2 linked regions of the Arabidopsis thaliana genome follow. The protein of the gene in region 1 interacts with the protein of each later gene in a pairwise test. Each region holds a gene or a part of one and is shown in the gene's direction. Other genes may lie near its edges.

Evidence for each region.
Region 2: the proteins of ARC6 (region 1) and FTSZ2-1 interact in a two-hybrid assay, tested with the Arabidopsis thaliana proteins (3 studies listed by BioGRID, with this or other methods).

Annotation. Positions count from the first base shown.
Region 1 is NC_003076.8:16,983,096-16,994,354, forward strand, and holds ARC6 (Chaperone DnaJ-domain superfamily protein), read left to right. Parts: upstream 1-2,000; 5' UTR 2,001-2,199; coding exon 2,200-2,706; intron 2,707-2,788; coding exon 2,789-3,013; intron 3,014-3,100; coding exon 3,101-3,361; intron 3,362-3,444; coding exon 3,445-4,432; intron 4,433-4,721; coding exon 4,722-4,855; coding exon of another isoform or gene 4,856-4,867; exon of another isoform or gene 4,868-4,946; coding exon 4,947-5,237; 3' UTR 5,238-5,513; downstream 5,514-11,259. Other genes in the region: AT5G42470 (BRCA1-A complex subunit BRE-like protein), read left to right, coding at 217-252, 347-448, 536-666, 755-803, 867-956, 1,039-1,092, 1,239-1,304, 1,398-1,495 and 1 more; AT5G42490 (ATP binding microtubule motor family protein), read right to left, coding at 5,514-5,859, 5,951-6,231, 6,311-8,254, 8,353-8,415, 8,500-8,567, 8,641-8,722, 8,801-8,914, 8,997-9,097 and 2 more. UniProt on the Arabidopsis thaliana protein: Component of the plastid division machinery consisting in a binary fission accomplished by the simultaneous constriction of the FtsZ ring on the stromal side of the inner envelope membrane, and the ARC5 ring on the cytosolic side of the outer envelope membrane.
Region 2 is NC_003071.7:15,194,157-15,203,240, reverse strand, and holds FTSZ2-1 (Tubulin/FtsZ family protein), read left to right. Parts: upstream 1-2,637; 5' UTR 2,638-2,772; exon of another isoform or gene 2,773-3,224; 5' UTR 3,225-3,308; coding exon 3,309-3,941; intron 3,942-4,106; coding exon 4,107-4,406; intron 4,407-4,491; coding exon 4,492-4,582; intron 4,583-4,883; coding exon 4,884-5,008; intron 5,009-5,210; coding exon 5,211-5,303; intron 5,304-5,385; coding exon 5,386-5,580; 3' UTR 5,581-5,872; downstream 5,873-9,084. Other genes in the region: AT2G36260 (Iron-sulfur cluster biosynthesis family protein), read right to left, coding at 1-3, 314-455; AT2G36255 (Defensin-like (DEFL) family protein), read left to right, coding at 1,513-1,573, 1,661-1,839; AT2G36240 (pentatricopeptide (PPR) repeat-containing protein), read right to left, coding at 6,085-7,578; APG10 (Aldolase-type TIM barrel family protein), read left to right, coding at 7,732-7,893, 7,992-8,199, 8,303-8,388, 8,472-8,573, 8,670-8,803, 8,926-8,974. UniProt on the Arabidopsis thaliana protein: Exhibits GTPase activity which converts GTP ligands to GDP.

The DNA of each region.
Region 1 (11,259 bases):
GTATCACTCTTGTTACTTTGTTTACGATAGAAATCATGATTAGTTTTGTTTGTGTAGCTAAGGCCTCTTCGAGCGTATAGATTCTGTTTAATGTTAGGCTTGTCACTAACTACGGTTTGATAAGTAATTTTGGTTCGGAACAACTGTAACCACTATTTTAGTTAGAATTTCTTATTGTTCTCTATGTTTATGTTCTTCTTGTTTGCTGATTCTCAGGGAATTGAAATGCAAATGGCTTCAGGAGTTGACAAGGTATTTATTGTTGTCAAGATTTTTGATTATTTATCTTTGAAGTTAGATGCATTGTATGCATTTGACTTTCCATTGCCTTTATTTTTTAGTGTAGCCAGAGGAAGTCAAGTTTGCAGTACCTCTTGTGATGGATATGAACATAAACAAAATGGTGGTTGGCTGCCCTTGGAAGCATCAGCAGAAGATTTATCTTCAGGTTTTCTCTTCGTTCTTATAATTTTATCCTTTTCTTCACTCTGTTAAAATTGCTGGCATCTTCTTGAGAAACTTGTTGCGGATCCAGGTAGTATACCCGATTCTTCGGAAATATGAAGCAGCACCGTCAGCACCTCGTTTGAAATTAGTATCATATTATGATTTAAAATCGCTATTCTCTGTTGAGGATGTTAAACTTTCTCCATGGATGGACGGGATGTAAGTTAGTTACAGATGTACACACAGTTCACTATACCTGCAAACCATACATGTATTAATCAGTAATACTTACATTTCTATTTCAAAGGTGCTTGGCTGAATATCTTCCCCATCTTGAAGAAACACTTGAGAGACAGGTCAGTTAAACTAAATCTTCTTAATTTCCTGAGTACGAGTGCCTTATTTACCTTAATTTCTAGATCCATGAAGCTGTTGCTGCAATTGATTTAAGGAGGAGTTTTATTGAGGCATTAAGTCTTAATCTGGGAAGACCTCTTGAAGCCGATCCTGTAAGCATTTCTTCGCACGCCTTGACATATATTTAGAACTATTTCCGAGCTTCTTAACTTTCTTATTTGTTTTTCTTGCTAGACCTTTTGCCGTAAGGCTACATTCCTTAATGCCTCTGGACAATTTACTTTCATGGTAATTATTCTATCACTATTCAAGCCTTGTTTAAAAAGTTCTATTCAATCTTTGCCAAAGTGGATTTTCATACTTGTCTTCTAGAGAAATCTCAATTTCACAAAAATATGTAGCAGTGGATTATTGGGTTTTTGGCTTTGCTGTAGGTTCATTTCTTCTTTTCAACTCAATTTCCGAAGCAGCAACCAACTCTGATGCTGCAAAGTTGTCAGGTATCAAAACTATTTGTAAACGAACTAAGTAGAAGGCTTCGACTTTCTCTTTATTTATTTAGGTATAAAAATTGACAAGCTTTTTATATGCAGCATTTAAACCAATCGAGTGTGCCAGTGAAATCGAATCTCCTCACTGAGTACCCATGGAGTCCAAGATGGGAAGTGGGACGCATGGCTGAGCGACTGTGGTTAGTCTCTATGGACTCTTTCTTAGATGTCTTATTTAACTAATTCTCCTTCTGAACATTTAAAATTTTACTTTTTTGCAGTGACTTCCTGACCGACGAGGCTGTCAACTTTAAAAAATATTGTAACGAAGCTCTGCTCCAACATTAGTGTATCTATTTCGAAAGTTAGTATTGTCCAAATTTTATGTGACACTCCTCTTGCTATGTAAACTGAAATGGATTACTGTTCTGCATTAAGGAGAATACAATTATAAGCAATTTGTCTTGATTTCAACAAGATTTTGCTTGGCTATAGGATTCATTGGCTCTGTTTGCTTTTACATTTACATGTCATAATAGTTTCGAATTTTACACATTTCAGTTGGATGTTAAGAAAAGAGAGGGAATTGATGGGGTTTTGTGGGTTTAAACTTTAAAGTAGTCAAGAATTAAGTCATTGGTTTACTGTTGCTCTATATGTGTAAAATGAAGGCAACTCCAACGGTTCTTAGGTGGAATAGATTATTTAGACGATTTAACATCATAAAGTCCGTGGCGACTGTAACATCATAGATTGTTTTTTATTTTTTTCAGTAGCTGGTGATGTTTTTTGATTTAACTTATACTACTCAAAATCAAAATTCCATAAACCCTAGACGACCAAACAGTCTCTTCAATATGTAAAACAGAACAAAGTTTTTGTAGTAGCCTAAAAAGACACTCCCATGGAAGCTCTGAGTCACGTCGGCATTGGTCTCTCCCCATTCCAATTATGCCGATTACCACCGGCGACGACAAAGCTCCGACGTAGCCACAACACCTCTACAACTATCTGCTCCGCCAGCAAATGGGCCGACCGTCTTCTCTCCGACTTCAATTTCACCTCCGATTCCTCCTCCTCCTCCTTCGCCACCGCCACCACCACCGCCACTCTCGTCTCTCCGCCACCATCTATTGATCGTCCCGAACGCCACGTCCCCATCCCCATTGATTTCTACCAGGTATTAGGAGCTCAAACACATTTCTTAACCGATGGAATCAGAAGAGCATTCGAAGCTAGGGTTTCGAAACCGCCGCAATTCGGTTTCAGCGACGACGCTTTAATCAGCCGGAGACAGATTCTTCAAGCTGCTTGCGAAACTCTGTCTAATCCTCGGTCTAGAAGAGAGTACAATGAAGGTCTTCTTGATGATGAAGAAGCTACAGTCATCACTGATGTTCCTTGGGATAAGGTAATTTCGATTTCGGAATAATAAAGTTTCTTCGTTTTAATTTCATGAATTGGATAAAGGAAGGAACTTTTATCTAGTGAAGGTTCCTGGTGCTCTCTGTGTATTGCAAGAAGGTGGTGAGACTGAGATAGTTCTTCGGGTTGGTGAGGCTCTGCTTAAGGAGAGGTTGCCTAAGTCGTTTAAGCAAGATGTGGTTTTAGTTATGGCGCTTGCGTTTCTCGATGTCTCGAGGGATGCTATGGCATTGGATCCACCTGATTTTATAACTGGTTATGAGTTTGTTGAGGAAGCTTTGAAGCTTTTACAGGTAGTTTGACTTGCTTTGGTAATTTGACGAGCGTTGGCTTTATAAGAACTTTCTTGATTTGATACTTTGTTATTGAGTCTTGTGTAGGAGGAAGGAGCAAGTAGCCTTGCACCGGATTTACGTGCACAAATTGATGAGACTTTGGAAGAGATCACTCCGCGTTATGTCTTGGAGCTACTTGGCTTACCGCTTGGTGATGATTACGCTGCGAAAAGACTAAATGGTTTAAGCGGTGTGCGGAATATTTTGTGGTCTGTTGGAGGAGGTGGAGCATCAGCTCTTGTTGGGGGTTTGACCCGTGAGAAGTTTATGAATGAGGCGTTTTTACGAATGACAGCTGCTGAGCAGGTATACAGTTTAGATACCTTTTTTTAATTTCTTTAGCATGATATAACTTTAGGTTTCTCATTTTAATGTATGTTGTGTGGTAGGTTGATCTTTTTGTAGCTACCCCAAGCAATATTCCAGCAGAGTCATTTGAAGTTTACGAAGTTGCACTTGCTCTTGTGGCTCAAGCTTTTATTGGTAAGAAGCCACACCTTTTACAGGATGCTGATAAGCAATTCCAGCAACTTCAGCAGGCTAAGGTAATGGCTATGGAGATTCCTGCGATGTTGTATGATACACGGAATAATTGGGAGATAGACTTCGGTCTAGAAAGGGGACTCTGTGCACTGCTTATAGGCAAAGTTGATGAATGCCGTATGTGGTTGGGCTTAGACAGTGAGGATTCACAATATAGGAATCCAGCTATTGTGGAGTTTGTTTTGGAGAATTCAAATCGTGATGACAATGATGATCTCCCTGGACTATGCAAATTGTTGGAAACCTGGTTGGCAGGGGTTGTCTTTCCTAGGTTCAGAGACACCAAAGATAAAAAATTTAAACTCGGGGACTACTATGATGATCCTATGGTTTTGAGTTACTTGGAAAGAGTGGAGGTAGTTCAGGGTTCTCCTTTAGCTGCTGCTGCAGCTATGGCAAGGATTGGAGCCGAGCATGTGAAAGCTAGTGCTATGCAGGCACTGCAGAAAGTTTTTCCTTCCCGCTATACAGATAGAAACTCGGCTGAACCCAAGGATGTGCAAGAGACAGTGTTTAGTGTAGATCCTGTTGGTAACAATGTAGGCCGTGATGGTGAGCCTGGTGTCTTTATTGCAGAAGCTGTAAGACCCTCTGAAAACTTTGAAACTAATGATTATGCAATTCGAGCTGGGGTCTCAGAGAGTAGCGTTGATGAAACTACTGTTGAAATGTCCGTTGCTGATATGTTAAAGGAGGCAAGTGTGAAGATCCTAGCTGCTGGTGTGGCAATTGGACTGATTTCACTGTTCAGCCAGAAGTATTTTCTTAAAAGCAGCTCATCTTTTCAACGCAAGGATATGGTTTCTTCTATGGAATCTGATGTCGCTACCATAGGTATGATTAAATGATGCAATTTTCATATATCTGCATTGCTCAAAATATGCTTGTTTTGTGAGCTAAGAACATAGTTCCCACTTAATACATGTCCCAAAAGTTGTACCAAGATTAACAAGTTGCTGAGTAAATTTCACTAATTATGCTGCTTGAATTTTTTGATCAAACTGTAGACAGAAATGTAAATTTCACTCTCAACATTTCTGTTTAGAATAACGTAGGATTAGAGATTGCCTTAGTGTGGCTTTGTCCAACTTTTCTTTCCTTGATTTTTTTCTTTTCGATTTAGGGTCAGTCAGAGCTGACGATTCAGAAGCACTTCCCAGAATGGATGCTAGGACTGCAGAGAATATAGTATCCAAGTGGCAGAAGATTAAGTCTCTGGCTTTTGGGCCTGATCACCGCATAGAAATGTTACCAGAGGTGAGGGAATAAATCTACAATTCAATCAATTGTGTGAAAACTGTTGGACATGATTATAGTCTGGTGCCTTGTTTGATTCTGTTATTTATAGGTTTTGGATGGGCGAATGCTGAAGATTTGGACTGACAGAGCAGCTGAAACTGCGCAGCTTGGGTTGGTTTATGATTATACACTGTTGAAACTATCTGTTGACAGTGTGACAGTCTCAGCAGATGGAACCCGTGCTCTGGTGGAAGCAACTCTGGAGGAGTCTGCTTGTCTATCTGATTTGGTTCATCCAGAAAACAATGCTACTGATGTCAGAACCTACACAACAAGATACGAAGTTTTCTGGTCCAAGTCAGGGTGGAAAATCACTGAAGGCTCTGTTCTTGCATCATAATATACTCATATGTAGCATGTCTGAGCTTGCGAGATTCTCTTTGTTTTGTAAATTCTCTCTCTAAGTTAGTGTTTATAAATGAACACAAAAAAATTAACGTTCTTGGCACACCCTTTTCCTTGATCTAAACTATAACATAAGGGCTACAATTTTGGATTCTTTCGCAATCAGGTACAAGCAGAACTTGACTTATCTTACATTCAAGCCTTTCACAACTTAACTATCAGTGTTTGGAGACTTCTGTCTTGTTTATGTTTTATAATTGTGCTCTGGTTATCATCTGGTCAAGCGTATAGCAGAGAATGATTTGGTAAATCTCCAGCCAGATGATTTTACGTTTTCGGTTCTAGGTAACAAGCTGAGGCCAAACATTTCCTTCGGCATTCGACTTGGCTCAACAAATCCAAGCAGCTTAGCCACAAGAGAAGCACTTTCTTTTATGTGGTCCATATCTTGGGTGTTGGTCCACAGCTTGTGCGCCACTTGCAGGCTTCTCTGCTTTGAGTTCACCTCCACGCCCCATTTTTGGTAAAGCCCTATTCTTTGGTTCCATGGAAACTTCTTTGGTAATTGTTTGGAAATCCATTCCTTCTCGCGTGTGAGTGCCTTCACTGTTTGCATCCTGATTAGACACCAAAGGAATTGGTTAGCATACTTATGAGTATATGATTGATATTGATGAGACTCGTTAAAAAGGTGTTGCAGAAAAATACCTTGATGTTTCCATGTCATTAGATATCGTCTGCTTCAGAAAAGATAGCCTTCGAAGTTCAACTTCCATATAAACATAGTCTGAAGGATCACCTTTGAAGAGCAAAAAGAAGTAGGTTCTGTGAACCAGTGGTACATTGCATGCTGCCCAAAGCTCAATTATTTTCCTTTGCTGTCTCTCAAAGTCTGAAGAACTGATTGAATATTGTCCATTAGCAGCTACCTGTAGTTTCTCCTGGGAAGCCTCTGTGGAATCTGTTTCCTTAGGTTTTGCTTCTTCTACCTGCATTTTGTGATCATCCAAACTGTTGAGAAACGAAAGAAGTTTTTGTCTCCCCAAGAAAATATTTTTTTTGGCTTACCGAATCACCAACCTGCTCTCTCTGTGACTGATTATTGGTGGCATCTGTGGTTTCTTTATTTATATCCTGAGGATTTGGCAATGCATTCTCGTTTCCTCTAACGCTATCTGCAGGGCTTTCCGGTCTGATCTCCATTCTTTCGGTTTTTGTGGGAGCGTATGGAATCCCATAATCTAGCTCCGGTGTCGAGTCAATTGAGTGATGCTTCTTTGCCATTTCCTCAAGCCCTGCTACAAATTCACGGAAGCTATTGCCCATCTCAGGATCATAGTCTTTCAGGCTACGCGTATCAATGGAGGTAGAACTCCCTGAATCAAAGGAAATGCTCGAAGTGTTGGGTCTTCCAGGAGAAGCTTTTGTCTGCATAACCCTCCAGGTAGGTGATGTATTGTTACTAACTTCCAAACTCTCAAACCAATGAGGAGATCTAACACTCAAGAGATTTTCTCTGCAACTTCGGCTTCTTTTGGCAGTAAAATATTCTGGAGGACTCTTGAAATCTCTTCTGAAGGAGGGTGATTGTTGTTGTTCTGCTGTGTGCATGCTCATAAGGTATTCAATTTTCTTCTGCATCTCCTTAACTTTTTCTTTCAAAGCCATGTAAGTGTCGTTGTCATTATCATCTGTCCCAATATTTTTGCAGACAGATGATTCGTTACAATCTTTATCAGCCTCTTGTTGCTGTTTGCTCTCCCACTTATCTCTAGATGTCGCATCCTCATCTAACTTAGCATCGTTGGGTGTTAACTCCACTTCGACTGTTGCTTCTGATTGGTTATTAATAGGGAGTGAATTCAATTCACAGTCTTCCGTTGATTGCTGTTCTGACTGAGCATTTTCTTCTTTATTTAAGCATTGCTCAGCTTGCTTTGTGGAAGGACTCATTTTCCTCTCTTCATTCTTCATTTGTTCCTCTTCATTCACAGATTCCTGTGATTCTTGAGCTTCAACTGATGGGCCTATCTCCAAATCCGAGTTCTTTAGAGTTAGCTCATAGGTCTCAGGCTTAGCATTCACATCTATTGTTTTTAAAGATAAGTCAACATTTTCCTTTTCTGCAGGTGTGCTAATCTCCATATCTTCATTCTCGGCTTTCTCATTACTTGTAGAAGAGTTATAGCTTTGTTCGTATTCCAGAGCTGATAATGGTTCGTCCTTTCTAGGTGTGCTAATCTCCATGACTTCATTCTCGGCTCTCTCATTACCTGTATAAGAGTTATAGCTTTGTTCGTATTCTAGAGCTGGTAAAGTTTCTTCCTTTGCTGCAGGTATGCTAATCTCCATGTCTTCATTCTCGGCTTTCTCAATACCTGTAGAAGGGTTATAGCTTTGTTCGTGTTCCAGACCTGGTAAAGTTTCTTCCTTTCTAGGTGAGAGAACCTCAGAGATAGCTATCTTATCAACAATGTCGTCTAATGAGTCATGGCTTTCGCATGCTGCTGGTTGTCCACTACTCTGCTCAGCTTCAGGTTCAATGCATCTAACTTCTTTGCATGCATCTTCCAGTCTTTCGTCGGTTATTTGAACCAACTCTTCCCAGTCATCATACAGGTTATGCCTCGAAAATTGAGGGGTCTTATCATCTAGCAGGAAATCATCTTCTTCAGAATTTTCCAAAAACTCAAAGTTCCTCTCGGTTAAGTTATTGATGATACTAGGTTCTCCAAGATCTGTTGAATCATAGCTTCTTCTTCGGAAATCAGCATCAAAATCCATGGAGCTAAACATGGATTGTTCATCCATCCTAGAAGACCGCTCTTCTGCTGTTGATTTAAGTAAATTCTCCACCTGAGATTGAGCTATATCACATGGATCGAACCTTAGTTTGCGGATGACCGTTCCAAGAGTAAGTAAACTCCTGTTTATATGACAACCTTCTTTCAATCTTGTACCAGCAGATAAAGTCTGAGAAGCACGTTCACTTCCAGCCAGATCAATGAAGCACTTGAGAGGCAGAGAACCAAAAACACATGTCAGCAGAGAAAGAAAAAGGTAGTAAGCTTAATCAATCAAAAACACTACTCATTGTAATTGTATAATACCACGGACGCTGCAAGAGTGCTTGAGCTATCCGGAGAATATTCTCGACCAGTGCTTTCGATTGTCTGCAGGAAATGCATTGTTTAGCATAGCGAGGATGAAAAGTTAGAATCGACGAACAAAAGGATGGATTAACTGAGAATATGTACCAGCCGGAGTATTTGATGTGATCTAGAGCTAACTTCATTCAGGGAGGTCTCTCCAATCTTCCTCTGAGCTGCAACAACACTGGTACATTAGTTAACGTTCAACTTAATTGAAATATTTGTAAGCCCGGGCATGTTACTCACTTTCACAGACTGTAAGAAGTTCCTCTAGATGTGTTCTGTCTTGGATGGTCTCCTCAATAAGTTTCTCAACGACGGTTCCTCTCTGATGAAGCAAGCGGATGGAAATGAGTGGGTCTAACACAATATGATAGCATAATATCGAAAAACACGCGATGTGTACCTCTGGATCATCGAGGAGCCTCCGTTGATTATTATCCCCACTTAGGAGATCCCTCACAGCTTCATTGTAGATCTCAATCGCAGAGAATTTGAGGGTAAATTTGCGGTCCGTATGCTGAAGAAAATGAAAAAGTTTGGTTACTTATGAAGGAAGAAATAAGAAAGAGATGTCAATGCCGCAGGGTTTTTGTTCAAACCTTTTGAATGTAACAAAAAATGTCATCCATTGCAAATTTAGTGATGCCACACATTGTATACGTCTTCCCACTGCTTGTCTGTCCATATGCGAAAATACTTGCTGCAAAACCAAATGTGTCAAACCAAATTCATTGTTACAAAGACAAATTAGATCAAAGTATTTAAGGTTGTTTTTTGGTTACAGTTGATTCCGCCGAGAACACAAAGAGCAACCTCCTTCGCTCCATCTTCATAGACTTGTTTCGTGGGAGAATCAAATCCAAACACTTTGTCTGTAAAACAAAATTTAAAAAAAATCTTAGCATCATGATTCCACAATGGTTGAATCAGCCTTGAATATTTCTGAACATCTTACCAAATGTATAGGTAGAGGGGAAGAGAGACCTCTCAGGCAAATTGTTATTGCATACTATTGTTGTGTTGTTTACACATTCCCAATCACATATATCATTCCTCGCCTTCTCTTTCTCGTTCTGCGGCCTTACCCTTACCGAAACCAATATCTTCTCCCCCTTTCCGCCACTCGCCATTTTCTATACCCTCTCTTTCTTCAATACATTCCTACCGGAATTGGAACCCCTTGCTTGAAGATGAAGGGAGAGAGAAAAAAGGTTTAGGTTGAGAAGAATAATGGATTTAAGAAAAAGATAGAATTAGAAGGCAAATTCTAATAATGGGTGATAATTAAGGCTTTATTGGGGTTTCTTCTTCCTCAAACAAACATCTATATATTCTCTAAACCCTAAAATAAGAATGTAGACAGATATATCCTCAGCTAACCTATGACCTGGCTAAGCTTTTTACACTATTGGCCAAAAGGCCCAAAACGATCAAAATACAGATATTAGAGAAAATTGTATCCAATCAAATATTGAAATTTGAAAACCATGAATGCGTTGCCTTGTCAAACACACAACTGAAAGCATTGGTGGCATTTACCAAGAATCTACCCTTATGTTCTATCTTACAAATAAAAAAGATCGTATAAATTCATTGTTAATATGGAACAATATTACATATTATATGAGCGACATATTATATGAACCGGTGAACGTAAGTGAATATGAAAATTAACACAAACACTTCATAAAGTCGAAAAATACAAGTAAAGGAAATCATTCACATCATTATTTTACCTCTCTATTACTCTATATCGTTGTTTTTCTTTTATGTTTGAAATTGTTTCACAAGCATATCCTAAGTTGTATTAACATGTTATTGAGATTTAGGGCTTTGAGTGTTTACTTCTCACACAAGAAACATATAGATCTCACAATATTATGTATGTGGATATATGAGTTTTCTCTTTTAGAACTCTCTGTACTCGTCGATTTATGTATCTCTATCTCCAAATCCAGGATTATCCTCTTCTGGTCAAGTTACTTCTCTTTTATCCTCTTCCTTGGGATTATCACTTCATCTGACTCGTGAGCTGAATTGCTTCTCTCGATGGTCTTTTTTGTTTTTGGTAAAAGGTGAAGTTACTTCTGTCGATGGTTGAAATTCTGAGTATGGTTTTTGCTTCCATGTTTTAACAAATTTTGTAAAACCTAAACAATTTCATTTTAATAAATATTTTAATTCTTAGTCAAGATAAATAGCAGAGGTTTGAGAAAAAGAGACGAAATTGGTCTATTTTGGGATCGTTTTGCTATAAGGTTCCACTTTCGTGTGCTGTCTCATGCTTCTACAAAAGTTTTAATAGATCAGAAGAATCTTAAGGGCATCTTTAACTCATCTCTATTTTTATCTCTAACATAAAGATTTCTATTTTTAGGAACCATTGGAGTAAAAATAGAGATTTCTATTTTTTCTCTGTATTTACAAGAAAAAATAGAGACAATCATTGAAAATGGTCTAACTTGTTAATATATAGTAGAAGAATTAATTAGTGGAAAGAGAGAATTTTTTTTTTCATGAAGGTCCATCAAATTTAGCATTTACATTCACATTTTTTTTAATATGAATTAATAATGGGAATCAAAGCTGGTCTTAATAATTATTGGTACAGTTTTTTATTTAAATGTATTAAAAATTGATTAGCTATGGCGTTGTTTTTAATGGTTTCATATACTAAAACCGTGAACCCAATATTGGTTTAATCAATATTAAAACCCAACTTTATTTTTGATCCAATTCCCTAGGTTCAAAGTTCAAACAACTACACCTTTTAAACTTTAAACGACACAACAAAAACAGAACACAATATAAGAAAACCAAAGTGAAACAATTTGTTTCGGAAAGACATTAGACAATATGCAA
Region 2 (9,084 bases), on another chromosome or scaffold:
CCTCTGAAAACAAAGATCATAGCAGAACAACGCCAAATAGGAAGCCTCAGGAGTCAGGACACATTTAAGTCATCTATTAAAAGTTCTCAAAAGTGCTACAAAACAAAAGGTCTTAGGTTCCTAGGAAGGTGACAAAACCTACCCTAAAACTTGACTCTGAACCTGATAGAATATGTGCCTTTAATTATTACATACATCTCTCTAATCAATATGAACTCCCTCCTCATCATGAGCATCAAATATATATCAACATAATTTATGAGGAAAAAATCAACAAAAAAGAAATATATATGTGGGAAAAAATGGAAATTACGGGCGTAATTGAGGACGTAAGATAGGCCATTGCATCCTTTGGCTTCAACAGCAAGGCGGAGGAAAGGTTTTTGCTGATGCTGCAGAAGTTGGCGAATCCTCGCAGCCGCCGTGTCACTCAATGCTAATACTTGCTTTCTCATCGCCGACCAAATATTCGAGGATTTCAAATTTGTGCTAAAGATTTTTCAGAGAGGAAGAAGACGTCCAAGCAAATTTGTTACAAGTTGATATTTAAAGAGCCATTGTACTTTAATATATAATTTAGTGAACAAGTCTTAAGAACTGTTTAGGCCTGTAAAGCCCGAAAGAATTAGTATTAGTAATATATAAAGTTTGTATTGAATATGGGATGATGAAACGATCTAGCTTCCAGAAAAAGTCTTAATTACACAACATAATAATAACTACCAAACGTGTCAACGCTCCCGTATTCGTCCACTAACATTCTCCCATGAACCCTAAGTTATAAGTCCTCCAAGGCTACGATCACATTTACAAGCGGAAAATTGTTGTGTTTGATTTGTTTCTTGTTTTATTCTCACTCTAAGCCTCTGGTTATATAGCATTTTTTGGCGGAAAAGCTAATCGCAAAACATGAGATTATAATTATGCGACATGTCAAATTGTTATGAAAACATTTTATATAATAAGAAATTTATTTGGTATAGTATCATATGAAACAAAGAGTCAATACAATATCAATGTCATTATATGTGCTCATTATGTTAAGTTGAGTCAAGGCACTTTACTAAGAACACTTCAATAATTATATTTAACTATTTCTGTGTATTCATACGTATGATACAAGGTTTGGTGTTCTATATACTTTATCCTCATCCCTTGAATTTTAGTTGGGCCAAAATAATGACATTAAAATTATAATATGTTGCTATATAAAAAATTGTTACAATTTGGATGCAACATAGAGAGATCATTAGCGAGACATTGGGTGGATCGTGCAATTCATTTCTGTTTTGTCAACTAGCAATTCAAATTATGGCGACATTATATACATTAATCCATATTACACAAAAACTAATAAACTATATATGTCTTGGATTCAAATAGAAGAAATAAAAGTCAACGAGTTTGCCCTATAAATGATTCTATGCTTTCAAATAGTTAGCTACAAGCTCATCAATCTCTGCTCTATTAAAAAAAGAAGAAGAAGCAAACACAAAACAACAACAAAGAAATATGGCAAAGCTCATAGTTAACTTCTCTGCTCTCTTGATGATCATCTTGTTGGTTTCTAATGGTAATTTTAAGATTTTCTTAACTTCCTTTGTCCTATATTAATATCGATATGGATGTGAAAAGATTAATGTGAGAATGGTTAAAACAGGACTCCCAAAGGCGGTAGCCCAAACATGCTTTAAAGGTGAAGCTCAAGAGGGTGTGTGTGTTAAAGTTGACGGCTCAAAATTGTGTGACCTTCTTTGCAGGGCAACCAACACAACTTGGTTTGGGGCATGTGAAGTGGAAGACAACGAGACGCACTGTCACTGCTACGGACCTTGTTAAGTATCTCATCCGGACGCAAAACCAAATATGAAACGTGAATAATTGTGTATCAGTACCTAAATAATGTGTGCATTGCTTATGATCAATGTCACATATCTACATGTGTGTTCCATGTTTGTGTGTTTTTATTTTATCGCTTTCAATAAATTTGCATCAGCACCGTAAATGTAGCTGATGCGATAAATGAATGTAAGATTAAATCTGTTTATTATGTTTGCTTTTGGTGTTCCATTATCTCTCCTATATATATGTCCTCTTCTTTTTCTTCATTCTTGTCATTAATCTATATGTATGTGCTATTTTTTGTTGAACAAAGGCTAATGAGTCTTATCTATAACACCAAATCAACTCCTAATAGTAATAGAACTCTTAACCTAAACTCAAAAGAAGTAAAGTACAAGGAAAACTCTAATCAAAAGTTCAAAACCATATTCCTAAACCATGAAACATAAAGGAATATCACAACCTCGAAACTCTTTTGCCGTAACGACTAGAGTTGCTTTTTGTTTTTAGTTAATTCAAATGATGACATTATTGTTCCAACTATGTAATGTAGCCACCACATTTTTCTTGTAATTTTTTTTGTTTCCTTCATAAAATTCATTTAGCAAATTTACACAAAAAATTCAATGAAAGTACATGAAATGAAATTTAAAGTACAATCATTTCCCATAGTTTTTTTTCTTACCAACACCAACATAACAGTGATAAATTGGAACAAAATTTTACCAAAATAAAAATAAAAATTTTATGAACAAAAGCATTTTTTATATATTTTTTAATTATTGGGGGTTTAATGAATTTGAGATATTTACTAGTCAGAAAACACCAAAACCCTCCGTTTCGTGGGTTTCCTCCAGACCTTGAGCTCCTTGTTCAATTCACACTTTTTCTCTCCCAACTCTTCTTCCAGGTTTCCTCTGCTACTCTCAGGTTTCTCTTCTCCACTTCCCTCCAGCTTTATCCTTTTGATTTCGTCCTCCATCTTACTGTATTTACCCAAAAATCTAAGCTTTTCTCAGTGTTCTTCCATTTCTCTACTTTGTTTTCATGTAATGCTGCAAACTTCGCAATACCCATCTTCAATTTCTTCAATTCGTAATGGGAAAAAGCATTTTAGTTTAATTTGGGTTTTGTGGTTCCTCACTTGTTTCATTCTTCTAAGTCTTAAACCATCCACTGATTCTCAATTTCTGAGGATTTGATATCTATTGCTGGTTAACAATGGAGCATAGATGCGACTGGGTTTTGTTTATGTTAACTTTATGAATGTAAATCACACTGCTTTGTGGCTACTTTGTGGATTTCGTGTTTTACTTTGTGGCTGAATCATATAACTCTAAATTGAGAGCTTTGGGTTTGACCATTTAGCTTTTTATGAACAGGTCTTGTTAGGGAAGTAATCAGTGGAATTGGATTTAGTCTTTTGGTTCTGAATTTTGTAAAGTCCTGCAGTGATTGGTCTCATTATGGCAACTTACGTTTCACCGTGTTTTACTCCTTCGGATTCTCGGTTACTAACTGTTCTTAGAAAGAATGTTTTACCGGAGAATCATTTAGGCAGGTTGAACTCCATTAGAACGATTGACAGTAAGAAAAACCGAGTTGTTGTTGCCGCTCAGAAATCTGAATCTTCTCCAATCAGAAACTCTCCACGGCATTACCAAAGCCAAGCTCAAGATCCTTTCTTGAACCTTCACCCGGAAATATCTATGCTTAGAGGTGAAGGGACTAGTACAATAGTCAATCCAAGAAAGGAAACGTCTTCTGGACCTGTTGTCGAGGATTTTGAAGAGCCATCTGCTCCGAGTAACTACAATGAGGCGAGGATTAAGGTTATTGGTGTGGGAGGTGGTGGATCAAATGCTGTGAATCGTATGATAGAGAGTGAAATGTCAGGTGTGGAGTTCTGGATTGTCAACACTGATATCCAGGCTATGAGAATGTCTCCTGTTTTGCCTGATAATAGGTTACAAATTGGTAAGGAGTTGACTAGGGGTTTAGGTGCTGGAGGAAATCCAGAAATCGGTATGAATGCTGCTAGAGAGAGCAAAGAAGTTATTGAAGAAGCTCTTTATGGCTCAGATATGGTCTTTGTCACAGTATGTCCTCAAATCTTTATTATTACTATTGCATTTGTTCTTCTTAGTTATAAACTTTGATTGTAGAAAAAGAGGTATGTGTCATTTGTCAATCACTTATCAGCTAGTTCTGGTCTCCATCTGTCCAAAAGAGTGAGGTTTATATGTCTCTTCATCATTTTATAGGCTGGAATGGGCGGTGGAACTGGCACTGGTGCAGCCCCTGTAATTGCAGGAATTGCCAAGGCGATGGGTATATTGACAGTTGGTATTGCCACTACGCCTTTCTCGTTTGAGGGTCGAAGAAGAACTGTTCAGGCTCAAGAAGGGCTTGCATCTCTCAGAGACAATGTTGACACTCTCATCGTCATTCCAAATGACAAGTTGCTTACAGCTGTCTCTCAGTCTACTCCGGTAACAGAAGCATTTAATCTAGCTGATGATATACTCCGTCAGGGGGTTCGTGGGATATCTGATATCATTACGGTATAGCTTTTCTTATGGGCATCCTGTGATCATTTTTTTGTGTATGGCAAATGATTTACCAGCTACGTTTGTCCTTGATTTGTAGATTCCTGGTTTGGTGAATGTGGATTTTGCTGATGTGAGAGCTATAATGGCAAATGCGGGGTCTTCATTGATGGGAATAGGAACTGCGACAGGTAAGTTTGGAATGATGGATAAGCTCATTTAGCTGCATAGTTTCATAAGCAGAACCATTAGTCACTAGATATGTGTCGAAATAGTCTAATTGAACTAATGAGCTAGTAGATTGGTGTGGCAAAGAAACCAGTCTAGTGACTGGGATACTGAAAATGACCATATTATATTCACTGTTACTCAACTATTGTGCATCTATGTCATGATGTAATAATCAAAGTCATGAACCTTGAACTTCTTTTGCGCAAGGTTTTGTTTTGTTTGCAACGTGCTGATTCTTTCATGCTACTTGTAATCATTCAGGAAAGAGTCGGGCAAGAGATGCTGCGCTAAATGCAATCCAATCTCCTTTGTTAGATATTGGGATTGAGAGAGCCACTGGAATTGTTTGGAACATTACTGGCGGAAGTGACTTGACATTGTTTGAGGTTTTTGTCTCTCTCTCTCATCTTTGTTTCTTATCTCTATGTCGATAGATCCATAAACAATAACTGGATCTTGAGAGACGCATTGACAGGGTGTTAAAATCATTTATTTTCTTCCTTCCATAGACAACTTAGAGCAAAGCCTGATTTTGCTTCATACCCCTAAGATGCTCTATAGTTTTTCATACACTTTGGTCTTGTGTAGGTAAATGCTGCTGCAGAAGTAATATATGATCTTGTCGATCCAACTGCCAATCTTATATTCGGTGCTGTTGTAGATCCAGCCCTCAGCGGTCAAGTATGTCCTTTATAATGTTTCTTCTACTAAACATAGATAAGACCTCTAGAGATGATAGAATTGATGTTTTTTTTGGTAAAAGGTAAGCATAACCCTGATAGCTACGGGTTTCAAACGACAAGAAGAGGGAGAAGGACGAACAGTTCAGATGGTACAAGCAGATGCTGCGTCAGTTGGAGCTACAAGAAGACCCTCTTCTTCCTTTAGAGAAAGCGGTTCAGTGGAGATCCCAGAGTTCTTGAAGAAGAAAGGCAGCTCTCGTTATCCCCGAGTCTAAAGCCCAATCTAATCACTACCCTGCACACTGCAGCAATAACAAACGTGTGTGTACTGGTAGTCTGGTACTGCCTTCTGGGATACAGCAAGATGTGTTGATGTATGATCAAGAATCTGTGTGGGTGTGTATATGTTCTGTCACTGCCTCTGGTCGTGTTCTTGAATAGGTTGTTTTAGAAATCGGAGTTTCTCTCTATGTCACTTCCAAAACAAAAAAGGAGAAGAAGAATCACACTTCTCGAACCATAAACATACTTATAAGATTATGAGAGTTTTAGCAGAAATTATTGTCATTTTTCATTCAGTTAATAAAAAAATCAATAGCGATATACCAGCAAACAACTGTGACTTTCGAATAAAAAAAGTTCATCTCCGACGCATGATTCTGTGGCAATGTGCAGCAACCAAACAAAGAACCAACTTGGTTTCCATTTCATATGTTCAAAATAAAATTTGTTGATACATAGATATAGCTTGGGTCTAGTTTACACAGATCAAACACAGGTTACAACATCCGGACTTGTTTCCTTGAGAATTTTCCAGTGCAGGACAAGCCATCCATCAATCTATTATATGTAAAGATATCAGGCAACATATCTTTATCCAACATCTCGTTCACTAGAACTTCTCCTTCCTTTCTTCTCCCTTCTTTCGTGAACCCCGAAACCAAAACATGGTACGTTGTCTCATCGGGTTCATATCCTTTGCTTGATGCCAAAAGTCTCAATCTGTTTGCATCAGTAGAATGATCAGAACTGCAGAGATCCCGAAGAAGCAAGTTAAATGTCACACTATCGGGAAGAATTCCTGCATTCATCATCTTCTCCATAAACCCTGACGCTTTCTCTGTTCTTCCTGATTTCCTCAACCCTTCGACGAGTGTAGTACAAGCAATGAAACATGGGGTTTGGCCTTTCTTCCACAGCTCCTCCATCATCTCCATTGCTCTAACCGCCTTGTTTTCTCCGCAGAGTTTCTCAACCAAACTACCATAATCAAACTCACTAGGTAAAACCCTCTTGTTCAAAAGATCGAGCACCAATCCACAAGCATCGTCAACCCGACCTTCTCTACACAACCCATCAACAAGAATCTCACAAGTAGCTTCTGAGAATCTACAACCTAGCTCAATCATCTCATAAGCCATTTTAACACCTTCCTCGATTTTACCACTGCTCAAAAACCCTCTAATAAGAGTGTTGAAGCTAACCACATTCGGTTCACAACCTTTCTCCTTCATCTCCCTGAACAAATCCAATGCCAAATCAAACTTAGAGCTTCTACAATAACCATTGATGAGAATGTTAAACGTGCATACATCTGGCTTTGCTCTTTCCTTTCCCATCCTCTGGTAAAACCTTAAAGCCTTATCCATATCTCCAGATTTCACATATCCATTCACAACAGTGTTATAAACTCCAACATTTGGTTTACCATCGATCAATCTCTTCATAGTATCAAACGCTAACAAAGCATAATCCATTTTCCTAGCTCTACAATACGCATCAATGGCGGATCGGAAAATAGGTTCAAGCTCTGGACAAGAGAATATACCTGAGGAACAAGGACATGGATTCGCAGCTACAAAAGAGAGAAGACGATAAAGATCGTCAAACCGGTGCGTGGCGGCGAGTGATCTCGACATCCAGAGGAAAGAATCGTGATCATGACGGAAAGTGTCGAGTGTAGCTGCCCAATTAAAGACGGCGAAGTCATAATGAGCGTAGAGCGGATGGTTACGGATCTTGGAACGGAGGAATCCAAGAAGAGTTTGTGGCGTTAGTGTTTGATGGTGAGGGAGATTGTTCTCGAGGAAATTGACGAAATTGGAGTGTTTGGGAGATGGAGAGAGCGTAAGTGTCGGAGGAATTGAGATCTCCGGAAGCTTTGGTGGAGGATTAGGTATTCGGTAAATCTCAGGTAACGGTGGCGTAATCGGCGCCGGAAGATGATGAGACTTTGAGACGAGACTGATAACGTTCTTCTTGTTCCATCGCATCACTCTCTGTTTGTCAAACGAATCGATAAATGTTGGGCATTTTTATCGATTTCCAATTTTAAACCAAACCGGAATAAACCGATATCTAAACCCTAGAATATCTAGAACCAGATACGTCACTGGTGCTTACTGATTACAGTTTCAGTTCCAAAGATGAGAACTTTGAGCTCCCAATTATACTCCAATGGTGGTCTCACTTGGTTCCAGAAGAAGAATCAGAGCTCTCTGTTCATCAAGCATCTCAGAGTCTCTAAACCATCGAGGGTTCAGCTCATATCTGCTGTTCAATTCCGTCCGTGCATCGATATTCATAAGGTATGAAATCAATTTCACCGATTAGAAAATCCTCACTGGCTGTTGAGTGCAGTGAATTCATTTATGGATCTATCTCTGTGTGATGTGATTTTCGATAGGGAAAAGTGAAACAGATAGTTGGATCCACACTTCGTGACTTGAAAGAGGATGGTTCAGTTCTCGTTACGAATTTTGAATCGGATAAGTCTGCGGAAGAGTATGCAAAGATGTACAAAGAAGATGGGCTTACGGGTGGTCATGTGATAATGCTTGGAGCAGACCCTTTAAGCCAAGCTGCAGCTATTGGAGCATTACATGCTTATCCTGGTATGTGTTTAGTTGAATGTCACATGGTGTTTGTTTTATATTGTTTGAATTTGAAATGTAAAGTTTTGATGTGTTATATATGATACAAGATGATGAATTCTAGGCGGTTTGCAAGTTGGAGGTGGAATCAATTCTGAGAATTGCATGAGTTATATTGAGGAGGGAGCAAGCCATGTCATTGTCACTTCGGTATAGCTGTCATCTAGCTTGATTGAATATGTTATCATAGTAAGTATAGCTGATGATAATTATGTTTTCGTTTTGTATTTCAGTATGTATTTAACAATGGAAAGATTGATCTTGAAAGACTCAAAGATATTGTGAGCATTGTTGGGAAACAAAGACTGATATTGGACCTTAGCTGCAGAAAGAAGGTGATTCTCTGACTAGTTTCATCTTCAGTTTAATGTTATTGGTCATGAAAAGAAGATCGGCATTTGAGGTATTTATATGGTTATTTTGTTGCGCAGGATGGAAGATACGCAATTGTTACTGATAGATGGCAGAAGTTCAGCGACGTCATCCTTGACGAGAAATCATTGGAGTTTCTTGGAGGATTTTCAGATGAGTTTCTGGTGCATGGCGTAGACGTTGAAGGAAAGAAGTAAGCTTTAAATATCTCAACGCTGTGATTTTAGTGTCTTAGAGTAAATTCGTTTTGCATTGAAAATACAGTATTTAGTCAGTATGTACTGATCAGTGGTGTTAACACTTCTTCTCTCAAAGGCTAGGGATCGATGAAGAGCTTGTAGCATTGCTTGGCAACTACTCTCCGGTGAGTAATAACATGCAGTTTCTTATGATTCGGAACTAATCTTATGGACTTAACGATAATTAACAGAACTTCACTCTATTCAAAATGCTTGTGATGTTAGTGAAACCGGA